Lepisosteus oculatus: one gene and its partner. The protein of the gene in region 2 purifies or fractionates together with the protein of the main gene of each other region. This does not show direct contact. Links are inferred from orthologs where the notes say so. Each region holds a gene or a part of one and is shown on either strand. Other genes may lie near its edges. The genes, in order: pln1 and sarcoplasmic/endoplasmic reticulum calcium ATPase 2.

Region 1 (8,293 bases), on a different chromosome or scaffold from region 2:
GACTGATGCAGTGTGCTTCTGTTGCAATAGTTATTGAAGAGTGCTTTGGCCTATTTTCTGTGGTTATTAAATTTGGAAACAGTTGCTGAAATAGGGCAACTGTATTAACATTTAATGTTTTATCATTTTATTCATTATTATTTTAAGGGGAACTGCAGTCCAAATTTCTCAGACCGGTAATTAAATCTTGGTAACAAAATAAATTAATTTACAGCATCGCAAAATTGAACAAATTCCCAGTTAAGCAGAAAACAGTGATCTTTGTGACAGTACTGTATATTGTCTCAAACCCCTGGGCGAGTTTGCGCAAATTGCGAAGTGAAGTGGCCCTTTCTGCTCACTAGTCACTGTAAGGACTAATGTACTGTGATGTAAAAGCAAATAAGTACAGGTTGTGCAGCACACAAGGAATGAAGAAATGTTCCAATGTGATCTACATGCACAGTTAACAAGTGAGTAGTATTTGTTGACAAAACCATCTCTATGTCAAGAGCAATATTTCTTTTGTATTAAAAGAGATGTATTCACAGGCCTGCTTGTTTACAATATAATAGGGCTGGTTCACCTCAGTGGAAATTTGGTTGCCTCATTCTGAATCGCGGTGTTTTGTGATGGGTCTACTTGTTACTGTGTGCATCTTATTGTGGTTTGAAATGCACTCATAAATGCCATTTCTTTCTAACCCCAAAAGTGACACGGTACTTTAATAAAAATACTCAACGTAATGAGGGTGTAACAGGTAGGTTTGTAGTTAAAAGTCTCAAAGAATAGCTTTTAGATTTTTAGTAGATTTCTAATTCTACTGAAAGTTATTTATTACAAAAAGGACCCGTAGAAAATGTTTTAAAGTACAGACAAAAGTACAAAAAAGGTTTTGCAGTGTAAAAATAGTATGTTGTGAACATTTCAGTTTGAAACAGACTGATTTCATGAAGTGACACATTACTTTCAGGGATCATTTCTATAGTTTGCAGTAAAAATATTTATTGAAGGATAAGTCTGTTTTCCAAATTCATATATAATTTCAGAATCGCAGAAGGGATATTTTTCCATATTAATCTGCCTTTCTGAAAAAGATCATTGTAGGCTTATGTGAGATCTTGGTGTACATTTGTTTTTGGGCAGCAACTTGGTAATATTTACTTTATAAATGGGCAAATACAGAGACTTTAATTTTCCCTTACAGAAATATTTTTGCTTGAGATCTGCAGTCCAAACAAATCAGCATAATCATATATTGAAACAAAGATAAAGAATATAGTCTCATGCACTGCTGATCTAACGAACTACTGGATAGATGATACAACAGTACTGTATACCGGAGTCTAAAGGGAAAATAGTGCTCTACCATTGTATTAATTAATTAATTTAAGAAATATGTGCAGTTATCAGTCTCATTTTCTATATATTATGACAACCAGCTGCCCCACATGCATAGTAAATAAATGTTAGTTTCTATTTGAACCAATCACTTGACAAACCCGATAAACATTTGTAGTGATGGATTCAGACTGAACAACCATAACCTGAATGCTGTAAGTTAGATAACTCATGAGGCGGCTTGTTTGTAAGGTTGTGCCGACAGTATCAAAACAGTGTTGTTGTGGACATTATATCCTTGACGTTGTTAAGAGCTTTGAGCAACTTGGGCTTCAGAACTCGGTCTGACTTTGAAAAGCAGGGAAGGCATCGACAAGCAAGACCGAGAATTTCCAATCAGTCAGCAGGAAGGCTTCTCATACAGTTGTAATTTAAGCGGTTTGTGACCACCACTCTCAGTAAGTTAAATAAATCTAATCTTTTTGATAATGTGCCTTACTACAGAACCATATTTGTCTCTTAATAACTAGTTTAAAATGACAAAATGCCTCATATACATGTGAATTTTAAATTAAGAACGTGTACAGTCCTTAAAAGCCAATTTATAACTGCTAATATAACAGTATAAAATTCATGTTAAACTTGTCAACTCAAAGCACTAAGTGCAGGTTAAACAAAAATTCACTGACAGAATGCTGTTTAGGCTTACATAATATTCTCAGTGCCAGGCGTTACTGGCTATAATATTTTCTACAATTTTAAAAAGTTAGAAATTCTGAATTTTTTCATGTAAAATATTTTTACAGGATTAGCAACAAGTACCTGTGATGATCAGGTGTTTGTAATAATCCTTAAATAATGCTGAATATGTTTTCAAGGATTGGTTCCCTTGAAATAGTAGCACTTTACTTTTAGGTTCATCAAAGACTAGACACAGAACCAACAACCAACATTTCCAGCATAACCTAAGAAGGAAATCTTCTAAAACCGAATGTAAATTCATAAACAAAATGAAGAAAGACCTTTTTTGGCTGATATCCCATGAAAATAAGTCATCTTAAGGCAGACAGTAACGTACGGCTGGCCGCAGTTGTGAGCTGTTGTTTCCATGATTGCATTAGTAAGTAATCTCTAGGGTCACTCTGCTTCATGCACTGAACTGACTGTCCTTTATCTTTAGAGTGTGACCTGCTAGGGAATTATCTCCCCCTCTCAAAGGAGATCACGCTGCAGGACTCCTGATGACGGTGAAGCCAAAAGAAATAAAAAGACCTGGCAATGCCAGCAATAGTGACATGGCTTTTTTATTGGCATTCGCTTTGAAACCTTTGTTAATCAAGTTTTTGTTCAAAATAGAGTTTCTTTAGATGTTATCTGTTCCCTATTGCATGTCGCATCATTCCAGTCTTTAGTTTCATACATAAAAGGGCCAGCGCAGTTTTCTGGGTAACATAATTTTCCAAATGTACTGCTGTGTATAAAGGACAATTGCAGAGGAACATACTGTAGCTTTCACAGCAGTGCATCTTTAACCTTTGCTTGCTTGAAGGGATCTTTTGTCTGAAATACAGACATCTGCATAAATGCAAATTCAAGAGAGACCACTGTGTCTTTGATGCAAATACAGATACTTTCATATTGAACTGTAACAGGACTAGTACAATGGTGTGGGTTTTCAGATTTGCTTTCTGCAAAATAGTTTTCTCTGTGGATCTTTATTTAATGCATGAGGCTGCAGTTACATATGGGAGGCAACAGCCTCAGAAATTTTTCACAACTTCTTATTTGCAACATATTATCGGCACTATTTTTTATCGCTATTCTTTTTAGGAGTTCTGTTTTGTTACAGACTTTATTGAAATTAGCTGTCGTTACAATGTTGTCTGAATGAATGAATGTCTATTTTAAATGGGTCAGTAAGTCTGTTCTTTTATATCATGAAAGTAATAAAAAATAAAATAAATATATTTTGTAAATAAAATGTGAAACACGTATGGTTTGTTATATAAACTATAATGCATTAATGTTGTAAAGTTAAAGCACGCAAGAATAAACATTCTGTTCGTATAGTTTTCGGATAGAAAATTAAAACCCAGTTCTCTAAAGGTTGTTCCTTTTGTATATTCTCATGGTTAGCCTTAAACATTTCATGATCCCCTTTACAGTTTCATAGCCTTCAGTTTAAATGCCATGCTTACTCTTAATATAAATATTTGTAGCTGCAGTTCATATTCAGACTGGTTTGACTCCACGTTTTTCGGTGATAATTAAGGAGCATCGGTTTTTGTTAATTCCTTGAAGAGACAAAGATTTGGAAAGCCTATCTTGGATGAACTGTGATTCACAAAGCTCTAGTTTGAATAATAAAAAAGGTTTTCCAGCTCATTAAATACAAAGTCCATATAATGTATTAAAATATATCTCGTTGACAGGGGAATTGCTATTTTTGGACAAATCCATTTAAAAGCATTTGCTTTGTTACATCATATGAAAGGTATGTGATGGTAAATGGAAATCTGATTAGTGTAATTGCAGCCATTTGTCTACCTGTAGATCTCCTAACAATACGTTTAACATTTTTAGCAAAATCCATGATCTTTTACAGAAATGTTTTGTTCTGAACAACTAGGTAATTTTATCGAAGGAGATCACTCACAATCTAGAGAGTCTTGATGAATATAAAATGTAACAGTGAGCTTCACCAGCATCGGTTATCCATCACCACTGACCTCTAATTGTTCCAGTAAGTGGTTGCTGGCCCAACGTCCAGTGTGTGTGGTTCTACAAATGAATAAGGAGAGGTTATATGACTTCAGTTATTAAGACCTTGATTTTTCAGTGTAAGCCTCTTGTGTCTCCAGAGGTATTCCCTGCTCTGTCCTGCATTTCCGTCTCTCAGCCGGAGGGACTGTGGGGCCACAAGCCCTGGCAGGCAGTACGTGTGGTGTGAGGAGGATGGCTTGTCTTACCTCCTGCTCTGGCCGACCGATCGCGGACACACAGCTCAGCGGACTGTGGGAAAGCGCCCTGGTCCAACAGACCCAGAGGTTCTCTGGCTGCTTGTCTGACTATGTCACAGAGTTTATGGGAACAGAACCAGGAGGCGGGGGAGAGCAGCGCCCCGAGTAAAGGAGGGGTTTTGCTGTTTATCCAGCCCCCTGGCAACACGGATTGGACACAGTCTGTCAGAGCTGGCAGCCAGCTCTGGCTCCAGGTGATCACAGAGGGACTCTTTCTCTCACGACCTGTTTGCTGTTGCCATACATACCTCATTTTAAGAGTCTGGTGCTATTTTCCTTTGGAACAGGATCAGTGCGTACTCAACCATTTGCATTTCATTTGGTATGATTGCTACTACTGCTAGGGTTAGCTCTGACAAAGAAGTTCAGATGTTGCCATGAGATCAAATAAGTTGTTCTACTGCTTTCTGTGAGAAAAGCACCTCAGGGCTTCTGTCCACCTGTTTTGAAAAAGTATAACTTAAGTACATTCAATGCAGTATCTTGATTTCACTTGTTATTATTTACAATAAAGTCAATCATTTAAATGCCTGAGTTCCAAAATAAAATTATCTTCTCCAGAAAAGTTTTTTCAGAAGCTAACAACTTGATCTGTTTTTTCTAACATTTATAATATTAATCTGTGCTTGAGTTCGTGAGTTTTTGGAAACGTAAGCAAAAGGGGTTCAACAGCCTGTCCTGGAGATGTATAATCTCCCTTTCACGGAATTTAGGTTTTTGCCTTAAATCAATTTCTTGGGGATGTAACCAAGAGCTAAATTAATTAAGCATATCTGTCTGTGTTTAAAGCAATACGTTTCAGTTATATGCTGCTGATAAAGCATTTTCAAAATATTTTTAGGATTATAAAAACTTTTAAAGGGTTAGCACTAAGACAACTATAACTTGTCACTAATGTTTGTGTTCGGCAGCAGTTCTTTCTGATACACAGTGATGTTACTGATATGAACTGTCTAACGTCAGGGAGTCCTGCCTGCCAAAAATCTAGTTACATAGAATGTAAAAATATCATCCTAAAAAGTATTTTGCATAAATCATAGAATATCTCATATCTTTGTATTTGACTATGGATGTACAGTATTATAGCCATTCTTCACTTTTGAAAACATGTTTTAATATTTCTGAAGCCTCTGTATTAGTTGTCAATCTTTGTAAACAACTAGCTCTGACGTGTCACTATCGGCCCTGAGTCTTTGTTATTCTAAATGTTAGACTAGAGCACATAGGAGATTGGTGTTGACCTGCTTGTGTCGACTTCAGTATTCCAGTGGGTTGGTAAAGTAAAAGGCCTCCCTCTCTGTGTTTCCCCTTTCTTGTAAATCAGTGTACATATGCAAACATGGTGCCAACAAACCTCTAGAGATTTTCAGTCACAAAGCTCTTAAGCAAAAGGAGTTTGCTATTCCAGCTTACACTTCCTTAGATGGAGTTTAGCTGGCCTCTCTTAAGTCAAAACAAGTTCCAAAATCACATTTTTAGAATGACTTGCTCGACGCACTTGGAGTAGAAGGGCAGAACTCAAACATGGGTACATAACAGGAGGATAAACTACTCTGTTTTCTCTGGCTAGAGCACTGCTGTTGTTGGCAGGCAGTGGTCTTTCGCATTGTCCCAGCTATGCTAACACACATGAGAGGAATTCTTTTTGCCGTCTTTATAATGGAAGACCAGTTGCATAATGTTCGAGCTACAATGAATGAGAAGGTGACAATTTAATGCAATGCGTAATCCGAGTTGCACACATTAAGTCCTAGAGCGTTGTCTTACAGTCCCCCCTTCGACTGAGAGCTGGTACATTACGAGTCTTGACAAGTGAGCTGCTCTAACTCCTGAAGCACCTCCACTGAACAATACTCATTCATTCTACAAAACCCTTATTGCCCCTTATTTTTATGTTTTCTAAGCATGATGTTTGTATTTGTTTTCAATTAAAGTGTGAAAAGGACCTTTTGCTTTGCAAAAAAAAAGACTTACAGTTAATGCTAAACAAGTACTTATACTAGAAGGAGGTTTGACTTGTTTTTACTGTACCTTACTTACCGTTAAAAAAAAAAGCCTTAAGAGTGTTTCTTATTGTGCCATTCAGACATGTTAATGATGTTCTGACTTTGCCCTGGTGTTATTTTAGACGTTTAAGTGACAAATGGTGAATAATGAGTTGTTTTACCACTGCTATTACTGTAATGAAGGTGCACGGCTAAGGCGATCTTGTATTGTATAGCTTTTAAATCATCACTGGATGCTCTTTAGAGTCCTCAGTCTCCCTCGCTCAGCTGACTCAGCTCAGGACGAGAGAGAGAACCCGCCAGCTGGATGAAATGATATTTTGCAACATGGTGTTAGGTGTTCGTTAAGCCATACGTTCTGTTTATTCCCAGGGAAACAATAATAAAACTAATACCAAATAAACACGCATATGCAGTATACACCTGTCACAGCTAATTAATAAAGTGGGTTAAAAACAGCTGTTCCAAAGGTTTTTAAGATGGGCAGTAGGCTTAAGCAAGGGAGATGCAAGCAGTTGTTTGAATAGCGGTAAAACATTAAAGATACTGTATGTAATTAAAATTGTATTTAATATATTGTAACATCTCTGGATTTAGTGGATTGTAATTACAATAGGTCTGGAGCTTGGTTTACATAGCTTTGTTTATTGTAATGTTCTGTGATTCACACTGCTCTGCTGTAACTGCAAGCCGTTATTAAAACTGGTTAGACCTAATTTCAGGCTAACTGATGGGTAATTTCAGTATTAAATAAAAGAAAAAATTGTTTTCACAGCTGAACGAGGGGTGCTACCCATGTCTTTACCTTTAGGATGTAATCACTCAGAATTCATTTCTTTCCATACAACTGCTTTTACCAACTTCAGTTTTCAGCCAGGATCTGAGGCTGCAAGGAGGCTTGTTAAAATAGCAATAATCTTGTCTCATCTTTTGTAGACATCAGTTAATCTAGCTCTGCAGTGTTTTCCATTGGAATTAATTTCCTCTTTGCAATAATAGCATTCGACAGCTCAAAGCATGGTATGTGAGGAAAGAAACAGGAAGAAATAGTTGGTTGCTCTGGTGTGTGTAGTAAGGCAAAGGAGATGCATCTTCAGCCCCTGGGTATAATGCGCCTGTGTTTGACTAAATTATTGAGATTAGTGCTGTGCACCAGTCATCCTAACACCTGCTGTGTCTTCTGTACCCAGGTCCCTGGTTATTTGTGGCTCTTCTGCTGTTTTCAGGGACAAGGCAGAGCTGTGCACGAAGTCTGTTTTATGTTCCAATCTGATAATGAGAGAGTGGCAGCTGAGCTCAGTCTGTGCTTGCTCTTGTTCTCGTTGGTATTTATGTAGTTAAGATAGGGCCTACTGTGGGAATTGCTTTCATCCTGATGGCTGAAAAAGCCCGTACTGCAGCAGGCTCTTCAGGATTCCCTTCTTCCTGGTTCCATTCCAAGAAAAGTTGTTCTGATAGGAAATGTGACCTGGACTTCTAACATTTGTGATATCTGATTATATCGATCCTTTGAAGGTGTAACTTTGGATACAGAATAAATCCGAGGTTTTAGCTTTAAGAGGAAACAGTGGGGAAAATGTAAATCCCTATAAATATTTCAGGAGTTCTGGTAAAGAAATCTTAGCAATTTAACACTCTTCTGATTATAACACCGAGACATTATACAGCAACAAAAAAAAACAGAAAATCCACAGATATAAAAAAAGTGTGTATCATAGCATTTACAATTCCACATGGCCATTTTGGTGAATCATGGCTGATTCCTTCATGCTTTAGCTAAATTTTCTGTTGATCTTGATCTTGTATAACTGAAATATATAATACAAGACACACAGTATATATATATAATACATATACAAGACGAGTATATAAACATATCCTTACATTTATACACATTTATATACATTGTATATAATTGTATTGTATATAAATTTGTATACATTTATA
Region 2 (8,293 bases):
ATACGTCTTCTCATATATCGATGCACGTCTCTCTCTGCCAGAGCCTATTTTGCTTCTAGGATGTAATTAGTTATTTTCTTCCAGTAGAGCGAAGGACAGAACAAGGTTACTCAGGCATGCCTTCATTTCAGTCTTACAGACCACCACTGACGTAGTTTTTCACATCTTCATGCTATTCTTCCAATTATTAATCCTTGGATCCAATAATTAGGCTGACTGAACCTGAAACACTTGGATAGTCTAATATTACACAACAAACACCTAACCATTAATACAAGACAATACCGCAGGTTCTGCTTATACAGGTATCACCTTTTACATTCGAGATCCGTACAAAAACGTGCAGTTAGACATAATGTAATAAGCCAAGTACATTGTTGCTTCTATGTCTGGCTCAGCATGTGCCAACTAAAACCCCATTCCGGTGAGCCCATCCTGCATTAGACTTGTCATCAGTTCAGGGGGAATTACAGCATGGCCTGGGTGAAACTGGCCCCACCCCCAGGCAATTACAACAAAATGCGAGATCTCGTCACAAGTGCACTGAGAGCACAGCAGATGAACGCGAGCCAATAGGCAGTACAGCCAGCCCCCTGCACTTCATGTCAGCCCCCGGTAACCTGATCCTCGTTCCCCGCTGTCGTCGCCATTCCCCGGAAGCGTGGCTTCTTCCCAGCGGTGTCAACCGTCGGATCTGCAAGAGCAGCCTCAAACAGGGCACACACGCCCGCGCCCATGTTCTCGGAAGGCTCTGCTCATCTCCTCGCCGCCGGCACTGAAACACCGGCTTCCTTGGTATGGCCATTATTTTTAGCCTTCCTGATTTATCAATGCCGTTTGCCAACACCCGACAGTACAAGTGTAGCAAAGGCAAACATTTGCTGCTAGACGCCAGTTCGTTCGACAAGCCCACTCTGACAGCCTCCTTGCACAGGGAAACCAAATTAGTGTTCGGGCTCCTGGCCTTGTGATGGGATGACTCACTTCTAACTCCTTACATCTGCAAAGAGGCTTTCATGCCAGAGCATCACACCCCTCCATCAGTGTCCCCAGTCACCATCCTGGTGCGCCAGTTTGAAGGCTGTGGTCCAGATGGAAGAGCACCACCACCTGGTCCACTCAACACCTGCCGCTCAGGGGTCCCACCCCAGCACTGCCCAGGCCCAGGACCCATGCTCTGTGAAGTTCAGTCACTATATTCGTTCACAATTAAAATGACACGTATCCTCAGTAAACTGACAAACGAATGAAGGCGGCAGGTGGGAATAGTATTGACGCAAAACAGAGAAACCAGCCGACGACGGCCCATCCCTGAATATAAACCACTGACTCCGCCCCACGCCAATAAACAAGGGCGCAATTTTCATTTTTCGGCCAACTAAGCAAACCTACATTAACCTCACATTTTGAAGTGACCACTTGTATTACAATACAAGCATCATCAGGAGATTTGTCAAGTCCATTAAGCCAAGAAAGTATTTCCTGGTAAGTTTTTTTTAACACAGAGGACTTATTTAACACTACTAGCTCAGCTGTCATACCTGAAGATCAAATCTCTGAACATCCAACATGATGGCTACACTCCCTTGCTTATACCTAACCTGGCCTATTCACACCTCAGCCAAGTACTTTGAATATTAACAGCCACAGACGTGGGCGGTTTAAAAAACTAGGTTAGGATCTTAATACCTTGACTGGAAACTGGTCTAACACATTAATGGCACCAGGTTCTCTAGAGTGACATTACGTTTACAGTGTTACAGTAGGCATACCACTGGAAAAAGGTTTTAAAGTTCACTCAGGGACAACGTAACTTGCGAAGATTTAGGCTTAAAAGTTTTAAGGCCTATATTTGGGCATTTCTGACTGCATAAGGAACGGCTGATGTTTAAGCAATAAATCTATACTGCCACAGAAGTTTCCAAATAAGAATAAATCTCAACAAAGGACAAAATCCCTCATCGCCACAGTAAGTATCCTTCCAGACTCATGCAAAAGGCTGTGATAAATAAATTACTAGTAGATTAGGGCAGTGTAGCAGAGTGGGTGTGTTTCTTCTTTACTGACACGCTGCGGGTTCGAGTCACTGCTGGTGCAACTTGAGTGAGGTATCTGACCCCAGTTGCTCCAGTCCTCCCAGCTGTAGAAGTAGGGACCAGCATTGCTGGGGGGGGGGATTCCTGCAAAGGACTGGCCTCCTATCCTGGACTACTCCTCAAAACTACACAACTCATACCTGAGCCCATCCTGAACTTGACCTTTTGACCTTAGGCAAACGACGAGAACCAGGTACTGAGGTTAAACTGAATACCCAAATATCTGTCAGGAAGAAGCATGCGCAGTTAATAAGTGATAGCTAGACAAGGACTACACTCTCCTCGACTCATTCTAGAGTTCCTACACAAGGAGGAAAAGGTGCAAAGAGCATCAAAGTAAAACTGCACTCAGATACATGCAAATTATGCACGCCAGCATTTGCTTCAACATAAAAAGTAAGATGTCCACCAGTTCTGGGCCCAATTCATTTACAGTGAAACATTTAGAGCTGCCTGCTCAGGTCAAACACCTGCAAGGCAGCCAAAGTAAGTTTCAACAGCATGCCGGGAGGTTGCATCGGGAAAATACCCAGGACAGTTTGGTGATCTGTGCCTCATTTTTTTTAATTGTAAGGGACTGATACTGGGTGAAGGCTTCGAGGCGCATACTTACAAAGGATATACAAGCTGCCAGTAGAAGAATTCTGACTAATAAATCTTCGAACTGCTCGACAACGAGTTCCCATAAAGATTTTCCTGCGGACAGAATAAACAGACAAATTCAGAGTGGAATAAAACGGAATGAGCCCCTCCAAAAAAAAAAATGGGGGGTTTTAAAATATTAATAAAACGGCGGTGCTGCTTACCTTCCTCGGCTGGCAGTTCTGGGGTTGCGTGTTTCCAAGGAACAAACCAGAAAGCGACCGGGGGAGGAGGGGGGGGGGAGAGGAAGAGGAGAGAGTTACACAGGCAACAAAAGATCAAAATCTCCGTTTACACAGCAACGCTAATAAGATGTGCGCTTTGTTGACATTTGAAACACGACCCAGGGCGGCCGTGCATGAGGACCCCCCGCTCCCCGCAGCGTCTTCGGGCGCAGTGGCAGGCGTGTGCCGAGCCGTGCTCCGCGTCGCTACGAGGAAGTGGGTGTCCACGCCGAGGACACGGGGAATCGGCGGTGTTGCAATGCACAGGGCTGGTTCAGCCGAGTCATGCGCAGGGGCGAAGTGAGTACGGGCGGCCCGCAAGCCAGCCCGGCGCCGCCGGTGAGATGAAGCCGAGAGGCGGCCGGAGCTGTTCGCATCCAACCCCCACCTCACCTGCGCTTTCGCTAGGTCACCGGGCTTGAGACGAGACAGGGAGAAACGTGAGCTGGGAAGCCGAGTCCGAGGCCCTGAGCCGGCTTTTCCCCCAACCCCCCAGCCCGCTGGAACCGGGGAACAGCCGCAGAACAGCCCCCTCCCCTCCGAAATCTTCCGATTCTCACCCACCGGGTCGGTTATCGCACGCATTCAAGGTTAACGGCGAGCTTCCCTCTTTCCCCCGCGATAAGGCGAACGGATTGAAAAACCCACGAGGTTGTACATGATGACGTCAGCCATTTTCACTATCCATTTTTGAGCATGCCGGTTACTGTACTATAACCTGGCTGCATAAGACGGGCCTTGCGTTGCGTAAAAATAAACCACTAACCCCCCCCCCCACACACACACACACAAAAAAAAAAACCAACACATATTTGTATACATAAAAGACTTCTGGAAATGAAACGGCATCACTTACCGTTCGGTCCCCATTTTTCTTTATTCTTTTTCACCTGATCCAAACTCAGCCCTGTGCTCTCATTGACGTTAAAATAGCTATAGACCTCCTCCACAGTCTTTGTGTGCGCGTTCTCCATGGTGGAAATGCTCCCCTTGTGAAGACACTTTTTTTCTTTCTCTCTCTCTCTCTCACTTTGTGGACTCGGCCACCTTTCAGTCCGTGTCAATTTCGCCGCACGTCCCTTTCGCGAAGGAAGGAGAAGAAAAAAAAAACAAAACAAAAAGGCGTAAAATACTCTAAAACTAGGCGTTTACATACAGAAAACGTCCGGTGGGGTGAGAAAAAAAAATAATAATATCTAGAATTTATGTAGAAATCCCGGCACTTATGGAGAACGAAGAAAAACGATGCGTGTGTGTGTGACTCCCCCCTCCGCCAGCTTCTCGTCCAAAATGTTTTTTTTGATGCGCGTGTTTTGCCGACTTAAGTCACGCTTAAAATTTAAAAAAGAGAAAAAAAAAACAACCGATCCCCTCCCCAGGCCACTTTGCTTAAGGTGTCTCCTTTATTCCCAGAGGAGCCGGCTGCAACAGTCGCCCTCCGTGCCACACGCTGCAATGGCCAGTGCACTCCTCAGGCTGCCGTGGGTGCGCGTCTGCCCGTGTCACAGCCGCTCTCTCGTCAGTGGCTCAGCCCGTCCAGCGCCACTCGCGTTTTATTGAAAGTGCCTCACTCGCTGCTGCCCCTCTCGCCTGCTCCGCATGTGGAGTGCGCTCATTGGATGGAGGGAGTCCGGAAATCTGGTGGGGCTGTGTGTGTGTGCGCTCTTCTCGTCGCTCTCCGGCCCGTCTTTTTTCTTTTCTGAAACTCGCTGCGATCAGCTGATCTCCACGCTGCGCCCGGCTCACGCCGCCCCTCGGATCCGGGAGCGGTGACGCAGACGCGTTTGCGTTAACCTTTTCGGCGCAGGGGAAGGGGGGGGGGGACCCTTTGGCGATTTGTCTGGTTTTGTGAAGTCGTGCACTCTCCCACCCCCTCCTCCTCCACACACACGCTGCCTTCCCCTGGGGCACAATAAGATGTCTCCACTCGCAGATCTACAGGCAACGCCACAATGTGCATGTATTTGAACTGGGGGGGGGGGTCGATTCCAGTTTTAATTCCAAGGTGCTGCCGCTGACCCCAAAAAAATATGTTTTGGGAAACGACGGAGCTCGAGTTCAGATGCTTTGGCAGGGGAGTTTAATTTGTTTGCCATTTTTCTCTGAATAGCCTCCGTTTTTGGCCTTGGAGGTGATTAAAGACTTTCGCTCCTATCATCCTTCAAACCTAGAATGGTGTGTGTGTGTGTGGTGGGGGGGGGGGGTCATTTGCTGGGATTAGCGAACGCAAATGTCATGCTGTCATGCTATTACAGCCAGCTAGAGTTATGCGCCGGGTGTCAGCCTTCTCTTTGCTTATGTTACAGCTCAGGCTGCGAGGTTTTACCGAGAAGCTGTTTTCCAGATACCCAAGTAGTTATAAACCCGGGGTCAAAAGTACGCGACAGCGCTGTGATTCGCGAAATGTAATTAGGAGGTATTTACACTTCTTGCCTCGTTTTTCTGGAAATGGTCATATGCGGTCGGTCCTGACGTGTATTGCCCCTTTGCTGGCGTGCAGGAACAATGTAATGCAATGTGCTGGAACAGCGCGCTAAAGTAAACGCTTTTATCGTATTACATCAGTGTCAGCTCATGTCGCTGCAGTCCCCAGACCCATTCAAATACACCCTATTCACGTGGGTGACTTTCACACCTGCACGCTGGAGTTCAGTTGGACAGGGATCAGTGCCACCCTGTTGGATCGGGGAAATGGGAGAGAAATAGTGTACCCGATGCTAAAGAGAGCTCATTCACCTGCTAGACCCCCACTCCCACTGACACAAAACCACCAGGTTTATACCAGCTTCCTGTTCTACAGCAACTAAATTAATCCCATGACCAGCAGTTATTTTTTCCTGTGATGTTGGAGTGCAATTGTAATATAAAAGAGCTCTTCTTAGTTTCAGGAGTGTTGAACAGGCAATAGAGCAGATGATCACTCCTTGCCACAGATGGATGGACAGGGAGTTACCCCACCAGCTGGTCCCCACTTCTACAATTGGAAGGACTGGAGTAACTGGGGGTAGAGTTCTTCATTAAGCTACAACAGCAGTGTCTGCAGCGGGGACTCGAACCCACAGCCTCTCACTCAAGACTTGAAAGGCTCCCCCACCATGGAAACCTGGGGTATGACAGAGAGTCTTCCTGCACTTTTTCCCCCTGGAGCTCTGCCTGAGAGGCTCAACTCTTTACAGTTTCAATAAGTTTATTGTGTTTCCAACTAGACATACTTTACTTGATCACTGAAAGAAGCAAGATTTAGTAGTCAAAGTATATTTTCGCACACGATTTGAACAACTTCTGCACACTGCGGTATCAAACTCTGCTGGTTACCAGCTACCACATCTTCACTGGCTACACTAGAGCCACCACGTGTTTTAAAGTGTGATAAACCAGCTGTTTCAAGATCTCCATTCTAAGTGCTTGAAAATGTCTCTTGCACTCATGAAAGTACACTTAAACCCTGTCCCCCCTCTCCAAAATGCACAGACACCTCTGCAGGTCCCGTCCTAACTGACCCATCTGAGACACAATAAAGAATGCTGTATAGGGAAAAGGTCGTTACTAATTGTTTTTTTTTACAATTTTTGCATCCCAAGAACGTGCAGCTAAATAGCAGATGAATGCAGAGAACGGTATCGGCAAACCTTCCAGTGAGCAGAAAAATGTAAAAAGGCAGGCTTTAGAAAATGGAAGCAGCTCAGCACAGCTCTATTTTTATTGAATGTTCCACTTAGCTCACGCTCATCACCTGGACTTGTTTCCTGCTCGGTTCACTAGTTACTTTCACAGACTCATGAACTGGGTGGAGGAGAGTGTAGACTGTCTGGATTGAAATCGTGTGAAAAGCTTTCTCCTTTTTTTCTCTCCATAAAAAGCTCTATGGATCCGCGGCTGATCTATAAAACATTATTGTGCTGTTCTGTCCCTTTACCTCCAATGAAACGAGGACCTCCTGGGATTATTGAGCCCCTGAAGGCTGCAATGTACAAGGCTGACGTTAGATCATGCAGGAGAGACCCGAGGGTCTCTCTCCTAATGAAGTCATTTGTCTGGAAACCCCAGCTGCCCACAGGAGCACCCAGTTCTTTCTTTTCACCTCATGGTTAGTGATGACAGTACGGCTGACAGACAAGGCCCAAGCAGGTGCTTTAGGAAAGCAAGGTTTTTTTTTTAAGTGCCTGCACACAGAATCATGGCAGCATGTAGTCACAACTGCTCTTTACTGCATGAAGATTTACTCTGGGTCACTCCAATTAAAACCCCACTAAGCTGATATTAGCAATGAAGGCTAATTTTATTTAATACCACAGACTGTGTTCCAAATGATTGTAATTAGAGAACAACTGCATTTCACACTGCATCGTTGTAATAAAAATGTTAATTATCTCGCATGTTACCATAAATAGTGTTGTACATGTTTGTGTTTCCATTCAGTGATATGCAGTACAGTACCCCTGTCTTGGTGAACATGAAATGGACATAACAAAATAATGATAGTAATTACAGAACTAGTGATAGATGACGAATTAATGCTGCAATTGTTCATGAAACACTGAGATCAGCAGTTTGTAGAGTGCATTGCTTGTCACAGAGCAGCATCAATCTGAAGTCCTTTTATGTGTTTAATGAGTCACTTGCAAAATTGGTGAAACAAGACATTCCTAAAGCATTCCATAATTAGAAAACACCTCTAACCTGGTTGTCTTCTCTGCGTCTGTGGGGCCATGTGACAGCTGAACAACTGTTTATGAAATGAATCCGCTGTCCGAAAACAAGGCCAAAAGTGTAATACGCTCTTGTCCCATTTTGTAACATTTCTTTTCATCTCAGAACTGTAAGAATTTCTCATTTACTACTTATGCTATTCCCAGTAAAATAATGGATCTTAAGTTAGAACACAGGAGCACATGGGGAAAGAAGGAGCACAATTCTAGGAAAGAAGGAGAGGACTTATATACTGCGGGGAAAAATCACAATTAAAATTCAAATAAGGTCATTAACCATGCAAGATAGCAAGATGTGCCACAAACCACTAGTTTGGCAAATTATGGAGGAAATAATGTCACCCCGGGCTCTGTTACCTCTCACTGCGTTAGAGGCGATCAAATCCATGAATGATGACATTAATAAATAATCCCTCAGATGAGGAGATGAGGGTGACAGAGTTCACGCAGCCGCCAGGTGATGGTTTAATCCCACTGGAGCAGGAATAAAGCTTTGCAGGGGTATATACCAGAGACAGCAGAAGGAAAGTAGAGATGATGTAATTACCGGTAACCTCTTGCACTACAGGATTAAAAGGTAAGTGACGGTGATATGTAACAGAAAGCAGCAGCTACCTTAATG

What was found.
Region 1: the proteins of sarcoplasmic/endoplasmic reticulum calcium ATPase 2 (region 2) and pln1 purify together in Homo sapiens (affinity purification with western blotting; 4 studies listed by BioGRID). This does not show direct contact. The link is inferred for Lepisosteus oculatus from reciprocal best matches to the Homo sapiens genes ATP2A2 and PLN.

The regions. Positions count from the first base shown.
Region 1 is NC_090697.1:648,071-656,363, reverse strand, and holds the start of pln1 (cardiac phospholamban), read right to left. Parts: upstream 4,461-8,293; 5' UTR 4,290-4,460; intron 4,102-4,289; exon of another isoform or gene 3,977-4,101; intron 1-3,976. UniProt on the Homo sapiens protein: Reversibly inhibits the activity of ATP2A2/SERCA2 in cardiac sarcoplasmic reticulum by decreasing the apparent affinity of the ATPase for Ca(2+).
Region 2 is NC_090717.1:10,109,825-10,118,117, reverse strand, and holds the start of sarcoplasmic/endoplasmic reticulum calcium ATPase 2, read right to left. Parts: upstream 4,643-8,293; 5' UTR 3,937-4,642; coding exon 3,819-3,936; intron 2,921-3,818; coding exon 2,903-2,920; intron 2,793-2,902; coding exon 2,710-2,792; intron 1-2,709.